Sus scrofa: one gene and its partners. The protein of the gene in region 4 interacts with the protein of the main gene of each other region in a pairwise test. Links are inferred from orthologs where the notes say so. Each region holds a gene or a part of one and is shown on either strand. Other genes may lie near its edges.

Region 1 (4,099 bases), on a different chromosome or scaffold from region 4:
CTTTGTCTGCAACCTACACCACAGCTCAGAGCAGTGCCAGATCCTTCGCCCACTGAGCAAGGCCAGGGTTTAACCTACATCCTCATGGATATTATTCAGGTTCATTAACCACTGAGCCACGATGAGAACTCCAAGGAAGCAAAGGGTTTTGAACCTATTGATCCAAGAGCTTACATCTAGTTGAAGAACTGATACCCCTTTTTTTCCTTTGTGTTGTCATTTCTTGGAAGCTGGCTATATTCTCTGCACTCAATATGCTCACTCACTTACATGACTTCAACTTTGTACATGCCTCTCAAATCTCCAATCCTGATTCTTCTGCCCAGTACGTATCTTAGCTTGGATATTCTGTTGGGATTTCAAACTCACATCTAAAGTGAAAACCATTTCCCTAACTTCTACAAATCAGTCTTTTCCTGACTTAACTTTTCTGTTAATGGGACTAACATCCTCTCAATTACCTAGATTCCTGTTACCTAGGTTTTTACTTTTTCCCTGCAATCAATTTTACACATCCCACTGGATTAATTCTGTTCTTTTTTTTTTTTTTTTTTTTTTGCGGCCACATCTGTGGCATATGGAGGTTCCCAGGCTAGGCTGAATTGGAGCTGTAGCTGCTAGCCTATGCCAGAGCCACAGCAATGCCAGATCCCAGCTGTGTCTGCAACCTACGCCACGGCTCATGGCAACGACAGACCCTTAGCCCTCATGGTTCCTAGTCAGATTTGTTTCTGCTGCACCACGACAGGAACTCCTGGAAAAATACAACTCATTATACCTCTGTCCTGCTCAAAAACTTTCAATGGTTCTCTACTAAATAAATAAGCACAATTACTCTGTGTAGTAGTCAAGCCTTAATCTACCTCTTCTTGCCTTTACAGATGTTACTTTCTGTCTCCATTCCTTCTGGTTCCTTCACCTGGAATGTCTTCCTACCACTGAATGTCAAAAAGCCTATGCATCTTGGAGTTCTTGTCAAGGCATAGCAGAAATGAATCCGACCAGGAACCATGAGGTTGTGGGTTCCATCCCTGGCCCTGCTCAGTGGGTTAAGGATCTGGCGTTGCCGTGAGCTGTGGAGTAGGTCGCAGATGGCATTACTGTGGCTGTGGCGTAGGCCAGCAGCTATAGCTCCGATCGACCCCTAGCCTGGCAACCTCCATATGCCACAGGTGTGACCCTAAAAAGCAAAAAAATAAAAAATAAAGTCTATACATCTTAAATGTCATCTCCTGATGTCATCCTTTTGATATGTGAGTATCTGCACCAAAAAGACTTTCACATACAGCCTTCCTAATGTAGCTTAGTCAGCAATGCACTATTTCTCTAGGAAGCTTGATTATTAAAGGAGCTGAAATGCTTAAGCAATATTTTACAACTCTGAAGTAGTACAAGAAATAATCCATAATCCACTGACTCCTATCTAGAAAACCACATAGGCTAGAAAACTATATAATAAGCAAATATTTCCTGCTAATCAGATAGAGTGAAACTGATTTTGAAGAGATGGAAGTAAGGCCTCCTCCGCTGAAATTTAAAAATTTTACTGGTATCTGCAGTAGGGATATTTAAGGTTTTCTATACAAAATTTGAAAAGCTAGTCTACTTTTTGATTCAAACTTTTTTTTTTTTTTTTTTTTTTTTTTTGTCTTTTTAGGGCTGTACCCACAGCATATGGAAGTTCCCAGGCTAGGGGTTGAATCAGAGCTATAGCTGCCAGCCTACACCACAGCCACAGCAACGCTGGATCCGAGCTGCGTCTGTGACCTACAGCGCAGCTCAGGGCAGTGCCAGATCCTTAACCCACTGAGTGAGGCCAGGGATCAAAAACAAATCCTCATGGATACTATTTGGGTTCATTACCGCTGAGCTGCAAGGGGAACTCAATACCAACTCTTTTTTTGTGTGTGTGTCTTTTTGCCTTTTCTAGGGCCACTCCCGTGGCATATGGAGGTTCCCAGGCTAGGGGTCCAATTGGAGCTGCAGCCACCAGCCTACGCCAGAGCCACAGCAACATGGGATCTGAGCCGTGTCTGCGACCTACACCACAGCTCAAGGCAATGCTGGATCCTTAATCCACTGAGCAAGGCCAAGGATCGAACCCGCAACCTCATGGTTCCTAGTAGGATTCGTTAACCACTGAGCCATGACGGGAACTCCAATACCAAGTCTTTTAACATCAGGAAATAATTTAACAAACCACATGCTATTAGAGAAACAAATGCTATCAATCCTCCCATTCCTTTTCCTGCTAACTCTATTGAGGAATTATCACTAGTGCTAATCCAAATAGTTTGGAAGAAGTCCTTTTCACTTTATACAGGGTTAACAGCCTGCTATCTTGACCTTGGCCTTTTTATGAAAAACAAAGATGATGGCATGACACATAATGTAAGATAACTGACCATTTTCTGGGTTAGTTAGACTCAGTCACTTTGCCATCTCAAAATGAAGTGAATTAAACATCTGCACTCAAACAGGAGTTAATGTAAAGCTCTTTGCAGATCATGGTTTTCTCCTAACCAAGATTTCGCACTCAACGATGAATAATGATATCTAAGTGATTTGGGGGACCTAAATAGTCTAGTATCTATATAGATCACTATGTCAGTTCCTCATTTCCTCTATTACATCATTTCCTTCTTCAGAGAGCTGGAGCCAAAAGAGAATAGTTGATGTTTTTAAAATCCTATTGCCATTGCTTCTCTCTGGTGCTTTCATATTCTTCAGAGACAAAAAGCAAATGAGAACGCAGACCACTGGCAAGTGGAGGTCACATCCCAGGGCCACTTTATTCTTGACGGGGAAAAAGCATTCAAAGCTTCTGAGTTATTCCTACTACCCCATTTTCCCATTTTCTTTTCACTTACCATGAAGAAGGCACCCCGGTGATAATACTTCTGTAAGAACTTATATTTGCCCTTAACAGCTTTGTTGGTAATGACTTTGCCATTTGCCCGAAGCTCAGCTCGCCTCTCTTCCTCAGTCAGGTTTCGCATGCGTTCAATTTCTGCTTTCTCCTTCTCAAGCCTGTTCAGAGAACAAAACTATCAGTATCAGTCCAGCTTCAGACAGACGCAGTTTTACCTGAACATGACCCGGTCCCACCTCCTTTTAAGCATTATTTAACTCCAGTCATTACCTGTTAGGAATCAAGATCAGGAGCTCAATAAATAAGAAGGTGAGGTGGTCTTTATTATGTTTGCAAAACCTGGTACTGCAAACTCCCAAAAATTGATTCCAGCCTTTTTGAGGTTCCAATATACTATTGTTGCTTGATTTTATGACATTACTAATTTCCCTTCCTGAGAAAGCCTTTTTAGCTTTAAAAGAAAAATCAAAATTTAAAATAACTGTGTTGGAGTTCCTGTTGTGGCGCAGTGGAAACAAATCCGACTAGTAACCATGAGGTTGCGGGTTCTGCCCCTGGCCTCGCAAAGTGGGTTAACGATCCGGCATTGCTGTGAGGTGTGGTATGGCTTGGATCTGGCGTTGCTGTGGCTGTGGTATAGGCTGGCTGCTGTACCTCCGATTAGACCCCTACCTTGGGAACCTCCATATGCCACGCGTGCGGCCCTAAAAAGACAAAAGACAATAAATAAATAACATTTTGAACATAATAACATTAAGATTAACATTTTGAACAAAATAACATTAAGAATTTTTTGATATTTCTTTGGTAGTGTGCTTACTTGTCCCAAACCAAAGATCAACCATCACTAATTAGATTGCAGTGCCTTTAACCTTTTTTTTTTTTGGAGGTAGAGAGTCACATCCCTTTTATTAGAGAAATGCAAACATACACATCATTTTTCATACAGTATTAAAGGGTACGTGGACTCCTTGAAGCTCAGGATAAAAACCTTACGAAACTGCAGGCTGAGGACAGAGGTTTCTATTGAGGGTTTCCCTGTGTAATCTGAGATTATCCTCTCATTCCTAGTAATGTCTAAGCATGGGTGATGCAACTCAGAAATGACTCTGTTCTAACACAGTGAGTGGTGGTGGATTATTTAAATGCCACAGATTCTTCCCCTCACAGCCTTGAAAGACCCTGCTAAGTTCTACCTCTGCCCTCTTGGAATGCCGCCCCGAAACC
Region 2 (4,968 bases), on a different chromosome or scaffold from region 4:
TTGAGAGTTATAAGTAAAATTTTAGCAAGTAGCTGAATTCACAAACATGGAATCTATAAATGAAAGTCAAGTATATATTTTTGTAATCAGTCTTGTCCCTGGAACTGATTTTATGGTTTTGTTTTTCTTACAGACTCAGGTAGGACGTTTTGCACCTCAGTTCTCTGGATACCAGCAGCAGGACTGTCAAGAACTATTAGCTTTCCTATTAGATGGACTGCATGAGGATTTGAATAGAATTAGGAAAAAACCATATATACAATTAAAAGATGCTGATGGAAGGCCAGATAAGGTAAATTTAACCATATTATTGTCACCATTGATATAATAATGTGATACCTCTGTGTAATATGTGTCTGTTTTCTTTATAGGTAGTTGCTGAAGAAGCCTGGGAAAACCATTTAAAAAGAAATGATTCTATCATTGTAGATATATTTCATGGCCTTTTTAAATCAACTTTAGTTTGTCCTGAATGTGCTAAGATTTCAGTAACATTTGATCCTTTTTGTTACCTGACACTTCCATTGCCCATGAAAAAAGAACGTACCTTGGAAGTTTATTTAGTTAGAATGGATCCACTTACCAAACCTATGCAGGTAAGAAATGATTCTTTTCTTTTCTTTTTTTTGCCTTTTCTAGGGCCGCTTCCCATGGCATATGGAGGTTCCCAGGCTAGGGGTCGAACTGGAGCTGTAGCCACCAGCCTACGCCAGAGCCATAGCAATGCAGGATCTGAGCTGCATCTGCCACCTACACCACAGCTCACAGCAACGCCAGATCCTTAACCCACTGAGCAAGGCCAGGGATCGAACCCACAACCTCATGGTTCCTAGTCAGATTCGTTTACCACTGCGCCACGACGGGAACTCCAAGAAATGATTATTTTCTTGGCATTTGTTATTTTTATGAAAAATTTGTGATGAGTCCTTATGCCTCAAACACAATTAGATAAAACTAAGCTTTTTTGCATGAGATTTTTATAAGATAAATACTTTGGAAATCAGTACAACTTTTCAGGATCTTGAAAGGGTGAGCAGTGTGCAGAGTATCATTATTTGTCATGTAGAAAAAAATTTCTCAAAGGCTTTTTCTTATCAAAGAAAAATGAGAGTGGTTTGACTTAACAATGTTGGTATGAATATTAGCTTACAAAGATTAATAATGTAGTGTTATTTTCCCTATTTCCCAACTTGAACTTTCTTTAATGTTAATTGTAATTTTTTTCCTAGTGGCTATGGAAGTGAAAATAGGACTGTACATTTTGATTCATGATATGATAAAATAATGGTAATATTTAAATACCTGTAATTTTTAGGCATCTAAAGAATGTGAAAGAGAAACATAAATTTAGTTATACTAAAAATACTTGCTTCAGGAATTCCCCTTGTGGCTCAGCAGGTTAAGGACCCAACACTGTCTCTTTGAGGATGCAGATTCAATCCCTGGCCTCCCTCAGTAGGTTAAGGATCCAGCATTGCTGCAAGCTGCAGTTTAGGTCACAGCTGTGACTCTGATCCAGTGTTGCTGTGTCTGTAGTGTAGGCCCAGCTGCAACTCCAATTCAGTCCCTAGCCTGGGAACTTCCATAATGCAGTAGCTGTGGCTATTTAAAGAAGGTGGGGGGACTTGTTTCACCAACGTTCTTACCTTTTAACTGTTGAGAGTATCAGTTGTCTGCCTGATTCCATTGCTTAGGGTCATAATTGGATTATTTTACATTTTAGGGAGCAAAACACTATTCTCTCCCTTTATTAATCAATCAGTCCTTTTTGACACTTGACCCCCCCTAGTAAAAGTATTTCTTATCTCCTTCTTTTCCCCTAAATTCTATTATAACACTTACCAGGTTTTATTATGACCTTTGGTTTACTTTAACTTTTCTCCCCTAGACCATGAATTCTTTGAAGATTTCAAAGAATTTGAAAACTTTGTAAATCTTTGTCCAACCCTCAGGACTTAGAGGTGTTTAGAAATTTTGTTCATTCAATATGTATTAGGCACCTACTGAGTATAAAGCTCTGGTAAACAAAGTAGACATGGCTCCTGCTTTAGAAGATTGTTTACTAAAGGTCCTAGTTGAAGGTTCTAAATAGAAGCGCAGTTTGTTAGAGTGTGTTAGTTGCTTCATTCTGCACAGACTGGTGTAACAAAATGCCATAGACTGAGTGACTTAAACAACAGAAATCTGTTTTCTTCCTGTTCTAGAGGCTGGAAATCTAAGATCAGAATGCCAGTGTGGCGGTTTCTAGTACAGACTCTCTTCCTTCATTTACAGATGGCCTCCTCCTTACTGTGTCCTCAGACAGCAGAGAGGGGGAGAGAGAGTGTTGAGCACAAGCTCTCTGTTGTCTCTTCTTAGAAGGGTCCTGATCCCATCATGAGGGCCCCATTTGGTTTTTAATTTATTTTTCCAGCAATGTGAATTTCATGATCTCATTAAACTCTCTCTCAAAGGCCCCGTCTCCAGATATCATCACATTGATTAAGACTTCACATAAAGGAGTTCCCGTCGTGGCGCAGTGGTTAACGAATCCGACTAGGAACCATGAGGTTGCCGGTTCGGTCCCTGCCCTTGCTCAGTGGGTTAACGATCCGGCGTTGCCGTGAGCTGTGGTGTAGGTCGCAGACGCGGCTCGGATCCCGCGTTGCTGTGGCTCTGGCGTAGGCCGGTGGCTACAGCTCCGATTCAACCCCTAGCCTGGGAACCTCCATATGCCGCGGGAGCGGCCCAAGAAATAGCAACAACAACAACAACAAGGCAAAAAAAAAAGACTTCACATAAGAATTTTGAGAAGACAATTCAGTCCATAGCATTATTCATAAAATCTACATGAAAGGTATATGCTTTGGACAAAATTATGATCTTACCATTCATTTAATGGAAATATTTGAGTTTACCATCAAGTGTTTGAGTTTACCCAGAATATGAGGAATTAATAAAAAATATAGTCCTTTCATTCAAAGTAATAAGTGTAGTAGAGACTGGTCATGTACCCAGTTATGCAGATTTCACCCACTGCTTTTGCTGTCTGTTTAATATGTCTCCTTCATGAACTCATTAAATCTGCTACCCTCCTGTCAGTATTTGATCCCGTAGTGCTGAAGATATTATAGAGAGCAAGAGAGACCTGGCACTTGCCTTTATCTATGAGCAGGATTAATAAACACCTGCTTTTATTTTTGGCCAAGGGAATATATGAACATACTTCTAAAATTACATCCTTTACTCACTTATTCACTTATTTATAAGTATAGGATTGTTAACATTCTTTTTAAAGGAGAGAAAGTATAGCAGTATTAAACTACACCCTTACCTCTCTAGTTTGTAACTTTACAAATATATGCCAATAAGTATAAGGAAATAAGAGGAGTATTTAGAAAATGAGTAAAAAATCTAAAAATTAATGTACTGTCTCTCTACACTCATTTGCCAAAAATAGTGCTTTCCCATGCCAGTAATATAATCTGTATTATATAGAGGCAGATTGAATTCAAGTTACACATTAGCCCATAAGGTTTGTGTTATTCTCCCATAATTTGGGTTTTAATTTATTTTTCCAGCAATGTCGATTTCTTTAATTTACCTCTATTTTGGTGACCAGCAATAAAAATGTATGGATAGTAGAACCATGGTCAGCATAGGAAATTGGATTTTTTTTTCCACTTGGAGGCTGTAACAACTCAAATCCAAAATAATCACCTCATTAACACTATGCTTTAACCAGCTCAAAAGGAAAAGGAAGTTAACTAGGTTAGCCTACTTGAGTTTTCCTGTCACTGAAGTTGATTTAAATCATAGAAGTTTATTAGTAGTTGAACTGAAACATGTGTTAGGAATTGGACTCACATACTCTGCAAGGTGCTGGAATTACAAAGGTGTTCCTAGTCCTTGTTCTCAAGAAGCTTATATGGTGTGAAAAGTGCTCTGACGGTGCTATAGGAGCATACAGAAGGAATAACCTCAAACCAGTGATGACACCTGTGTTAAATCCTGAAGGATGACTAGGGTTATTTTGGGGGAAAGGGGTGTCTTTTAGGGCCACACCCACAGCATATGAACGTTCCCAGGCTAGGGGTCGAATTAGAACCTGCAGCTTCCAGCCTACACCACAGACACAGCAGCGCAGGATCCAAGCTGCATCTGCAACCCACACCACAGCTCACAGCAACTCCAGATCCTTAACCCATTGAGTGAAGCCAGGGATTGAACCCACATCCTTCATTGGTTCATTACCACTGAGCCACAACAGAAACTCGGGATCATTAGGTTTTAAGCACGTGAAGGTTGGGAATAAAACATTATAGATCAAGAGAGGGCTGAGGCAAAAGAGAACATGGTCTGCTTATGGAAACTATAAGTAAATAATACGGTAGGCAGAAGCTAGATCACAAAGAACCTTAATGCTAAGATAGGAAGTTTGGACTTCATCCTAAAGAATGAGGGAACCATGTAAGGTTATTAAGTAAAGAGATTATATTGTCAGATTTGTATTTTAGAAAGAATACTCTGGCTAGTGGAAAGATTGGATTAGAAATGCCTAAATCAGAAGTACTAAGACCAGGTAGGAAGCTTTTGCACTGACAAATGACAGGGGACTTTTAAGGTATGTGTCAGGGTGGCAGTTAGATAGAAGAACCAGTTGAATGTAGGAGTTGAACATGTTTAAGAGTATTCAGTTCATTCAACTGGAAAACAGGAGAGAGTGGAACTGTTTGTTTTATTGGAATATATAGGAAGAAACCTGTTTTAGTTATTGCTATGTTGACCTAAAATGACCCAAATCTCTGTTGCATATGGACATGTTGAGATTCATGAGGAAAATTTAGGAGCGATATCAGTAGGCATTGATTGACTTTATCTATGTAGGCTAGAGAAGAGAGATCTGCCCTAGAAGAATGTCTTAGAAGAATGAGATCACCTAAGGCTAGGGTGATCCTTTAATGTATCATATAGACCAGAACTTTTTAA
Region 3 (4,968 bases), on a different chromosome or scaffold from region 4:
CCTTTTGATAGGTCAGTGCTGAGTTTCTGGTCCATTCCCATCATTTTCCCTTCCCACAGCCATGGCTACTTCCTTCTCAGGGCCAGTAAGAAGATGAGAGAAGCCTGGAATGAGGAACCCATACTAACCCCACCCTCACCACATGGACTTTTTTTTTTTTTTTTTTGGCCCATCTTCCCCATGTGGAAGTTCCCTGTAGTGTCAACACTGGATCCTGTAGTGTCTCCACTGTGCTGCAGAGAACTCCAGCATATGCTTTTTCTTTGCAAGCGTGCGTGTGCGTGTGCGTGTGTGTGTGTGTGTGTGTGTGTTTATGGCTGCACCCACAGCATATGGAAGTTCCCAGGCTAGGGGTTGAATCAGAGCTACAGCTGCTGGCCTACACCACAGGTCACGGCAATTCCAGATCCTTAACCCACTGAGCGAGGCCAGCGATCAAACCCGAAACCTCATGGTTCCTAGTGGGATTGTTTCCACTGCACCATGACGGGAACTCCGCATATGCTTTTTCTAAAGAAAGAGAAGTAGCGGGAGAGTCGGAGAGAGCTCCATTTTATTATGGAAAGTTAAAAAACAAACAAAAACAAAACAAAACAAAAATAGGCAATGGAGAAGGAAGGAGAAACGGGAAGAGAGTTGAGGTGCCTCATGATCCACCCCACACCCTCGCAATTCAATTCACTCGTGAACCACTAGGAGGAACAGAATTAAATAACTGGGGTGGGGGTGGGGAGGATACAGAGTTAAGGTTCCCAGCATTCCCTCTTGGGGAAAACTGAGACACAGTAATACTGAGCAAAAGTGGAGGAAGCCATACCCCACGGAGGTGACAGCAGGGGGCAGAGGAGAAGATTCCACAGGGCCCTCCGAGGAGGCGTGGCTTGTAAACCTGGGACTTTGGCAGGTGGGCGCTGGGGGCTGATGGGGTTTGTAAACCAGGTTGTGGTCCAGAGAGGAGGCAGGGGCAGTAAACAAAGGGGGCAATAACCTAAGGAACAGTAAGGAGGCCAGGCCCTCTCTGGGAATGGAGTGGAGGCCCGGACTCCCAGGGAGGTGGGTGCTTAAATCCGGAGACCCCAAGAGGGTGGGGGGAGTCTGTGAAGAGACTGTACCCTGCCCGGGAGATGGAGAGGGTGCTGCCTCCCCACCCCAGTGAGCTCTCTACTCCTCCCCAGGACATGAAGGGGGACTTTGGATCACCTCGGATGCACCAGCACATCTGCCCAGGGTGGAAACTGAGCGGTTGCCTCTGCCCCCAGAAACAGGATGAGGAAAGCGAGTTGGAAGATGTTAGTTGCCCTTCCCTGCCAGGCTCATTTTCAGGGTCTGTCTGCTCTGAATCTTCTGGGCTCCAGGATCTTCAGTTCTGGGAAGGAGGGAGGTACAGGCCTGCGTTGGAAGAGGGTCACCTCCGGCAAGACTCGTCTGTGGAGAGGAGGCAATAAGGACAGAGAATGAGTGAAGGTCTCAGTCCCCACCCACTCCCCATACTGAAGGCCAGCTGTTACATAGGAAATCACACAGTATTCTCCAAATCACAGGGCTTGTTCCTACCAGGAAGAGCACCCCTCACTCATTTAGCCTAGCTTCTGTGCCAGCCATCCTCATAACTTGTTTAATCTCACAGTGACCGCAGGAGAGTCGATGTCCAGCCATAGTTCATAGGTATGTCAGTTCCTGTCGTAGTGCAGAGGAAAGGAATCTGACTAGGAACCATGAGGTCAAGGTTGTTCCTGGCCTTGCTCAGTGGGTTAAGGATCTGGCATTGCCGTGAGCTGTGGTGTAGGTTGAAGATTCGGCTTGGATCCTGCATTGCTGTGGCTGTGGTGTAGGCAGGCAGCTGTAGCTCCGATGAGACCCCTAGCCCGGGAAACTCCATAGGCCGCGGATGTGGCCCTAAAAAGCAAAAAAACAAAAACAAAAAACAAAAAACAAAACTTAACCCTCTCAACAACTGCAGGGGGAAGGTTTTTGTTTGTTTTTGTCTTTTTAAGGCTGCATCTGCAGGATATGGAGGTTCCCAGGCTAGGGGTCGAATCTGAACTACAGCTGCCGGCCTACACCACAGTGACAGCAATGCCAGATGCGAGCCTCGCCTGTGACCTACACCACAGCTCACAGCAATGCTGGATCCTTAACCCACTGAGTGAGGCCAGGGATCGAACCTGCATCCTCACAGATCCTAATCAGATTCATTTCTGCTGAGCCACAAAAGGAACTCCCAGGAGGCAGTTTTTGTTTGTTTGTTCTTTGTTTTTGTTTTCATTTTTGGCTGCCACACCGCATACAGAGTTCCCGGGCCAGGGATCAGATCCGAGCTGCAGTCGAGACCCAACCCATAGCTGTAGCAACAGCCAGATCCTCAACCCACTGTACAGGGCCAGGGATCGAACATGCGCCCCAGCGCTCCCAAGACACCACCAAAGCCATTGTGCCACAGCGAGAACTCCAAGAGGTAGTTATTATTAACCCCATTTCACAAATAATAAACTGAGGCCAGAGGTGAGGTGATTTCCCTAAGAGACAGGATGGAAATCAAACTTAGGCCTGATCCAACACTTATGTTTTTAACCACACTATAGCGCTCAGCAAGAGTCCTGGAAATCTGGAGACCGCATGTGCGCTTCGTTTACTGGGACCTCAGTTTCCCCATCTGTTAAAGCAGCCAGTTGGGCTAGAAGCCCTGCTGAGCCCCTGGAAGCGCCAGCATTAAATCCTCCCCGTCCTCCTGGGCCGCAGTGCCCTCTCTGAACACCAGGGGGCGCCCTCGGGATGGCAGAGCCTGTTGCTCACCCACTATCAGGGCCTTGGTACGCAGCCCGCCCTGGAGCTCCCGCTGCAGCAGTAGCAGCTCCTCTTCATCCTCTTCGTCGTCGGGTTGGGCCGCTGGGGGGCTGGGGGCACTAGGGGCCTCAGGCTCAGGTCCCAGCTCCTCCAGCACCGAACTCTCGGAGGGGTACTGATACGTGGTCTCCAGGGCTGTCTCGCTGAAGGAGATCTTGAGCTGAGGGGAGAGAAAGCGGGGAGGCGAGGTCAGCCCGGAGATGACGGCAGGGCAGCGGGCGCAGGATGGGGAGTGGGGGCTGGATCTGGGCCCTCTGCTGCCTTTGGCCTCCCCAGTCACTCTGGAAACCAGTTTTCCTTTCAGTACTTGCTCTCTAATCTCAGATTTTCCTTCTTCAGCCATATCGTTTCAAAAACATTGACTTTGGCCTGAGCTTTTGGCAGGGGCCTGGGTGGCAGAAGTGAGTAACACAGGACCAAGGTTCTCACTCTTTAGAGTGTGGGAGGCAGAAAGGTAAAAAGAAATGAAAAGACGTGGAGGTTAGTCCTGTGATCAGAATTGAGTCTTTGGGGAGTTCCTATCATGGCACAGAGGAAACAAATCTGACTAGAACCCATGAGGATGTGGGTTCGATCCCTGGCCTCGCTTAGTGGGTCAGGGACTAGGCGTTGCCATGCCCTTGGTGTAGGTCGCTGTCATGGCTTGGATCCCGCGTTGCTGTGGCTGTGGTGTAGGCTGACAGCTGCAACTCCAATTCAACCCCTAGCCTGGGAACTTCCATATGCTGCAGGTGCAGCCCTTAAAAGCTGACACACAAAACAGAAACGCAAGAATCGAGTCTTTGGGCACCCTGGGAGCAATCAGGACAGCTACCTGGAGGAGGTAAGATTTGTGTCTGCTAGGCAGGAAAGTTCTGACTAGGGAGGGAGTCTTAGGCAAAAGCAAAAGACAGGCACTTTTTTTTCTTTTTTCTTTGTCTGCACCCACTGCATGTGGAAGTTCCTGGGGTAGGAATCGAACCCTTATAACAGCAACAACCCAAGCCCCTGCAGTGAAAATACCAGATCCTTGACCCACTGTGCCACAAGGGAACTCCGAGACAGACACACTGGTTTCCATACTCTCAGCCCCTTGCTGTGAAAGAAACCCAGGACCCCAGACACTAGCTCCTCCCACCCTTACTCCTCTCCTCCAGCTGGAGTGACCACGGGAAAGGGTCTCAGGTCTGAGGGGATAGGAGACTAAGAGACAAGTGCAGAGGAAATGAAACGTTCCCCCAAAACACAGGGAGAAAATGCGTCCCTGAAAGGGGAGGTGACGGGGCAGAGAGGAAAGTCCACGCAAACATGGGATGGGGGTGGAGAGGGCATGAGAGGGGACATGCAGACAGAGGCAAAGGACCAGAGGGGGAATCTGGAAGGGGCAGAAAATCCTTTGTAAACATACTGTCTCGAGAGCAGGCGAGCCCCAGCTGTTCTCACTACCTTTTTACCCTTCCCCTTTGCCCTCCTAAGAAGCTCAGGGGGAAGGGGCAGCGTGGGATTAACTCTGGGAGCCAAAGCGATTAAGGAGACCAACAGAAGGATTCCATGTGAACTGCTCAGAAAGGTCCAGATGATCTACTCAGGCTTTCTCTGGCATCTGTTTGGGAAACTCAGGGCGGGGGCCCTGCATCCCTGAATCTCTGCATGGACTTGGGTATGAAAAGAGAGAAACCAGGATGGTGGCTGGACAGATGGTTGCTAACACCAAGGTCCCCGAGGGAAGCTGGAACTCAGAGACTGTGTGTGTCACTCCTTGGATACAAACGTGGCATTGGCCCCTGTCTCACTGGGAGCAAAAGCCAGAGCCTGGTCACAGGCCAACGGGTGGCCCCAAAGTGACTTTCCCCACTCACTTCTTGGGTATCCTCCTCCACTCCAGCCACATTGGCCTGAATTCCTTCAATCCCATCAAGGGCACGCCTACCTCGGGGCCTTTGCACTGGCTGCTCCCTCTGCCTGGAACACTCTTCCTCCAAATATCCCAATGGCTCCCTCTCTCTGGATCATACTATTATAAAGTTGTCATATTTGCTCCTCCTACCTCCTGGCCCTCCAGGTTCCACTTGTCCCTGCTGTCATTTTTTTAACCACCTCCTAACCTAACCTTCCAGAGAATTTTCTTGTGCCTTCTGTCAATAG
Region 4 (5,656 bases):
GGGACGCAGCGCTGAGAGGCCAGCCCACCTCCCCCACCGCGGGCCGCGTACCCGGGCGCGCTGGGCCTCGGCCTGGCGCAGGTCCTTGCGCAGGGAGAACACGGTGCGGGTCTGCTCCTGGAGGTCCCGCTGCGCCTGCCGCCAGTCCTCCTCCAGCACCTGGATGTAGGGGCTGCTCTGGTCCGGCCGCCCCTCCTGTGGCGCCAAGGGAGAGGGTGGCGGGGCGGCGGGGCTGGAGGCCCCCCGCCCGGCTGCGCTGTGCTCGCCCCGCTGGCCCCACCTGCACGGAGGCCTCCAGGCCCTGCACCCGGGCCTGCAGCAGCGCCTTCTCCTGCTGCAGCTCCCACAGCAGCTCCTGGCTGGGCCGCTGCTCCATGGCGTGCCGGAGCTTCAGCGTGTGCTTGCGCTCCACCGAGCAGTCGTCCTCGGCCTTCATGAGGCTGTGCTTGAGCCGATCGATCTGCGGGGCCGCCCGTCAGCCCAGCCCGGGGGCCCGCCGCCCGCCCGCCGCCCGCCCGGCCGCCCCGCCGCCAGGCACCTCCAGCTGCAGGTCTCGGTTGCGCATGAGCGCGGTGCCCCTCTCCTCGCTCTGACGGGCCAGGCGCAGGGCCAGGTCGTAGTTCTCGTCCTTGCAGCGCTGGAGCTCGCGGCCGCCGGCCTCGCAGGCCTCCTTGAGCCTCTGCGCGCGCTCCTGGTGCTTGCGCAGCAGGCCGTCCTTCACGCGCAGCTCCTTGATGAGGTCGTCCTTGGAGCCCAGCAGCGCCGTCAGGTCCTGCGCCTTCTTCTGCAGCTTCATCACCTCGCTCATCAGCAGCTGCGTCAGGCCGGACTCCCCAGACGCGTCTGCGGACCGGGCCTCATCAGACGGCGCGCCCAGCAGCCCAGCATCTCGCGCGGCTCCAGGACCGGCGGCCCGGGGAGCCCGGCCCAGGGGTCTGGTCCTGACTCACCTGCAGGCCCCGTCCCCAGCCCCTCCCAGGACGGTGCAGCCAGGGGCTCACGTGTCCCTCCCTCTTTGTCCACTTTGGTCATCTTGATTGAGAGGCGAGGGGACACGACTCAGGACCAGGAGAGCGGCACCTCTCCGGCTGCCGCGGCCTCTCGGGAGCAGGGTTTTAGTGGGGTCAGGTGGTCTTCTGGGCAGGGGGGCTCTGAGCCAAGAATCAGCCTGTGCCTCCCCTCCCCCTGCTCCCGCCCTGGAGTTCAGGTCCCCCTTCCCTCCGGCCCCTGCCCCCTCCCCGGGCTGCAGCAGGAGAGCGGGCGGGCGGGCCCCAGGCGGGCGGTATCCTTCCGCCAGAGCGCATGCACGCTTTATCCGTTAGGGGCCCAGGTCAGGGGGGCGCCCCGGCCCCTGAGTCCGGGCCCTGGGTCCCCAGGCCCGGTGCCCTTCCTCACCAATGATGACGGAGAAGACGCGGGTGGGCTCCTTGCCCGTGACCTTCTTGTAGAGCTGCGGGTAGTAGAGCTCCAGGCTCTCGAGGAAGGCCACGTAGCCCTTGTGGCCGGTGCGTTGCAGGATGTCCAGGAGCACGCCTGCAACCCAGATGGGCCTGGCTGGGGGCCGGGGCGGCCGGCGTCCCCAGGCACGCGTGTGGCCCCTCGAGGCCCCGCGGGGTGGCCGCAGAGTGGGTCTGGGCCAGTCCCCATCGGCCACCCACCTCGTGTGGCTCTCCCAGGGGCCTCTGCTGTGCATGGCGGCGCCCCGGCCGCAGGCAGACAGGTTGGTGATGGGGGGGGCGGGGCGGGGGCCGAGCCGGCCAGGCCTCCCGGGGACAGGGACGAGCGTGGGCAGAGCCCGCCGCCCACGGCACTGACCCACTTTCCGCTTGCGGATGACCAGGCTGGGGTCACTGAGCACCTGCTCCTCGTCGTCGGGGCTCAGGACCTTGCACTGGCGCAGGTAGGGCGTGATGCGGGCGGGGTCGATGACGGAGATGAGCTTCACGCGGAAGCCCTCCAGGCCGCTCCAGCACTCGTCCTCGTTCTCGTAGTCGGACATGGTGCGGGCGGGCGCACTGCTCCGAGAGAGGGCCCGTCAACTGGCCCGCCGCCCTGCCCTGCCCTGCCCCCGCCCTCTGGCCGCTCTGGGCTTCCTCTCCCCCGCCCCCGTCACCCTGGGCCCCTGCCCCACGCTACCCCCCCAGCCTGTGCCCAGGGAGAATCCCCCTCCCCGAGCATTGTGGGCGGGCAGGGAGGCTGCCTCCCTCCCTGGAGGTGAGGGGGCAGCAGGAGCTGTTTGGGCCGAGCGCTGGCACAACCTCCCCGGCAGATGAGGGAGGGGTCCCGGTCCACCCCCGGCCAGCCCGCGCCCGGCTGGGGCGCCCCCCACCTGCGGGCGGCAGGCCATGCCACGCGGGACTTCCTCATTCCCCCGCACATCCACTCCCATCCCTTCCTCTGCTTCCTGTGGCTGGTGATGCAACAGTTGCCCAGCTGGCCCGCTCCGGTCAGGCCCAGGGACGTGGTGCCCTCCAGGAAGCGTGACTGAGAGCAGCCCACCGGAGGGCCCTGGGCACATGGGGAGGGCCCAGCTGTGTCGCCCAGGCAGCCCAGGACGCGGCTGCGCGCCTCCTCCAGGCTCTGGGTGCTGGGCACTAGCTGGCCCCGGGCTCTCCCCATCTCCTCGGCCACAGTGCTGAGCACGGGGATGCTGGCTCCCTGACAGGGGACCATCTACGTGGAAGCTGCTCTCTGCTAGCCCTTCCAGCAGCGGGTGGGCAGGGACCACGCTCTGGGGCGGGCTGAGCAGGAGCAGCCATGTGGCCATGCCTCCTCCTGGGGGAGAGGGGTCGGGGGGCACAGAGACCCCGCCTCAACACCTGGGACTGAGCCTGTAACCTGCCTGGGAAACACCGGCTCCCGGGCCACGGGGGCTGGGGCACGGTCCCAGAGGCCGTGGTATCCCAGAGGCCGTGGCTGTGGGTCCCACCGCCCTCGGCCCGCCCGCCTAGCGACAGGCGCGGCGTCCAGAGGAATCACCAGCACCTTGGTGGCCGGTCTCTGGACCTGGCCTGTTGCGGCCTTTCTAGCCTCAAGTCCACAGCACCCACGCCTGACGATGACCTGCTGTGCATTCCACCGAAGCGACCGTGCCAGGTGGCTGCGAGGGGGACGGGGCAGCAGAGGTGAGGCCGTTTGGTGCCCTTCTGGGGTGTTCACGCCAGATCCCTCTCCCTGTCCCAAGAGTCCTGAGCCACCTGGGCTTGCCGCCGCCTTTCCGAAAGGGCACCAGACCAGCCTACCTTGGGGTCCTCCTGAGGCACCTGTGCAGTGGCCGGTCGCCGGCCAGCCTGGGCCGCCAAGCCGGTGTGTGAGCGGTGGGAGCTGCCGCGGCTGCCGGCCAGGGAGGGTGGGGCGGGAGGGAGCGCACTTCCTGGCGTTAACCCCGCAGGGACCATCCCTGCGGCCGCTGCTGATTCGCCCGAGCAGGGCGGCCTGGGGGGCGGGGGAGGGAAGTGGAAGTGGCTCCCCAGGAAGGCTGCCCAGAGCCCTGCCAGCCAGCGCAGGGCTGGCCGCGGGGCCCAGGGCCCGCCCTGGAGGCCCAGCCCTGACCCTGAGGAGTGGGGAGTGCGAGCCAAGGCTTGACAGAGCTCGAGCCCCTGCTGGCCCACTTTGGTCCCAGGAGGGGGCGGTGTGGTGTCCCAAAACAGGGCCCCGGGCACAGGCGCCCCGCAGCACACTGGCCTGCTGTGGCTGGCACGGCCCCGCCCCTCCTGGGACCACCCCTTCTCCACCAGGACACATGACAGTGACAGCAGCCCCCCACCCCAGCACTTCAGAAGGGCTGCAGAAGGCCGGGCAAAGCCTGGAGCCCAGCCCTGGCTGCCAGCTGCACCCTGGCCAGGTTGGGGAATCCCCAGGCCACCGCGCTGCCCGGGGAGCTTTGCCAGTTGAACCGAGCTGCCAGCTTCAGCTCCGCGAAGGGGCTGCGGCTGGACGGGCTGGATGGGAGCCTGGCCGGTGCTCCCGGCTCCCCCTTCCTGAGGAGCTTCCCTCCCGCCTGGCCAGCTCCCTTCCTGTGGGGTCTCACGCCTCAGGCCGTGTGGGGGCTTCTCTGCCTTCTGCCCAGGATGGTCAGCGGGCCACTTCGCAGAAACCTTGGGCGTCCCGGCACAGACCTGGCACTGCTGGGTTGCGTGGTGGCCTGGCCTTCCGGGGAGCTGACATCACCCTCTGGGCATGGGGAGCCCCCTGCGGGAGCCGCGAAAGCCAGGTGGGGACTTGGTGCAGGAGACTGAGCCACCGCCTCCTACATGCCCAGCAGGCAGGCTGGTACCGGGCCCTCAACGACCCAGTTCCCGTGGCTTAGAGCTCAGGCAGACGTCGTGTGCTCTGGGCGAGGCAGCAGCCACAGAGACGTCGGGACCCTCACTCAGCATTTGGAAATTGAACAAGAAAACTTAGCCCACAGGTCAGAGGAGGTCGCGAGAAAAACTGGACTCGGTTAACTGAGTCCCGGGTGCAAAGGGACCCCCCGCCCCTGCCAGGGGGCGTCAGCCTGCGGCCTGTGTGACGCGTCACACCTGGGTGCAGGGGGCCCCGGTGACTGCCGTATGCGGGAGCAGGGGCAGGACGCGCTGGGCACCCTTGTCTCGTTTCGTGTGTAGGAAATTTCCAGAGTGAAAAGGACGCAGCTGGGAAGGAGGACGAGGCTCCCAGAAGTCAGTGCCTGGGAGGGTGTGACGCGCCCGAAGCTGAGCTCCTTGGGACACAGGGGACAGAGGGCACAGGGGCTTGGTCTCGTGCCAAAGAAACACCTGCAAGGGGGCACTGGCCAGGGCCGCCGGGCTGCCGCTGGTTCTGGGGACCCACCCAGGCCAGCCCGCGTGGTCTGGTCGGCAGAGGAAGCAGGCCCGCCCGCCCACCCGGCCCTGCGCTGGCGTGTGGACCCAAGGGCCCGCTGGCCAACTCCCAGCAGGCCTGCATACGCCCTGCGGCGGGCTTCTAATTAAAACAGGGCATTTCCAGGAAGGCCGCTGGTGGCCTGGGGTTCAGGATCAGGCCTCATCCCTGCTGTGGACTGGATTTGGTCCCCGGCCCAAAAGCTTCCGCGTGCCATGAGCACAGCCAAAAAAACCCCACAGGACTTCAAAAAAAATTATTTATTTGTTGGCTGCACCTGCGGCTGGGGCAGTTCCTAGGCCAAGGACTTGAATCTGTGCCATGGCGGTGACCCAGCTGCTGCCCCCCAGGGAGCCCCCCCATGTCTTTGCCCCTCCGCTGCTCTGATGTGCACGTCATGACGTGGTCGCTGCTGGTAGGGCCTTTCTTCCGCGGGTCAGGGGGTCAGCGGGGGCCCCGGGCCCACCTCCTCCTGGCCGCAGCAGTGGGTGTCGCCCTAGGGCAATCCTGGAACACAGATCACTTGATGGCACGGTGCCCTGACCCCTCGGACCCCCTCTGCCTGGTGGGCCTGGGCAGGTGGGGTGAGGCCCTACCACCCACCTGCAGTCCATGGACCGGGCCGCGCGGGGGACTGGCCCTGGAGCCTAGCGGGCTCTAGACAGGCTGACCCCAGACAAGCCTCCGCACCCACGTTCCCAGGCTCCCTGTCCCCTCCCTCCACCTGTTACTCCAGGCCCAGAGCCTCTCGCAGCGGAGCCCGTACTGCTCCAAGGACCCGGCTCCACCTCTGGGGATGCCCGCCCTGACTCAG

Evidence for each region.
Region 1: the proteins of CARD9 (region 4) and MFAP1 interact in binary tests that used the Homo sapiens proteins (3 or more experiments, as listed by UniProt). The two-hybrid records come from large-scale screens. The link is inferred for Sus scrofa from reciprocal best matches to the Homo sapiens genes CARD9 and MFAP1.
Region 2: the proteins of CARD9 (region 4) and USP15 interact in binary tests that used the Homo sapiens proteins (3 or more experiments, as listed by UniProt). The two-hybrid records come from large-scale screens. The link is inferred for Sus scrofa from reciprocal best matches to the Homo sapiens genes CARD9 and USP15.
Region 3: the proteins of CARD9 (region 4) and PPP1R18 interact in binary tests that used the Homo sapiens proteins (3 or more experiments, as listed by UniProt). The two-hybrid records come from large-scale screens. The link is inferred for Sus scrofa from reciprocal best matches to the Homo sapiens genes CARD9 and PPP1R18.

What each region holds. Positions count from the first base shown.
Region 1 is NC_010443.5:127,750,965-127,755,063, reverse strand, and holds part of MFAP1 (microfibrillar-associated protein 1), read right to left. Parts: intron 3,031-4,099; coding exon 2,871-3,030; intron 1-2,870. UniProt on the Homo sapiens protein: Involved in pre-mRNA splicing as a component of the spliceosome.
Region 2 is NC_010447.5:27,061,572-27,066,539, forward strand, and holds part of USP15 (ubiquitin carboxyl-terminal hydrolase 15), read left to right. Parts: intron 1-133; coding exon 134-292; intron 293-371; coding exon 372-596; intron 597-4,968. UniProt on the Homo sapiens protein: Hydrolase that removes conjugated ubiquitin from target proteins and regulates various pathways such as the TGF-beta receptor signaling, NF-kappa-B and RNF41/NRDP1-PRKN pathways.
Region 3 is NC_010449.5:23,211,270-23,216,237, forward strand, and holds the end of PPP1R18 (phostensin), read right to left. Parts: intron 3,005-4,968; coding exon 2,794-3,004; intron 1,426-2,793; coding exon 1,406-1,425; 3' UTR 537-1,405; downstream 1-536.
Region 4 is NW_018084833.1:1,341,000-1,346,655, reverse strand, and holds the start of CARD9 (caspase recruitment domain-containing protein 9), read right to left. Parts: upstream 3,224-5,656; 5' UTR 2,674-3,223; coding exon 2,330-2,673; intron 2,016-2,329; coding exon 1,816-2,015; intron 1,534-1,815; coding exon 1,396-1,533; intron 844-1,395; coding exon 539-843; intron 461-538; coding exon 281-460; intron 196-280; coding exon 52-195; intron 1-51. UniProt on the Homo sapiens protein: Adapter protein that plays a key role in innate immune response against fungi by forming signaling complexes downstream of C-type lectin receptors.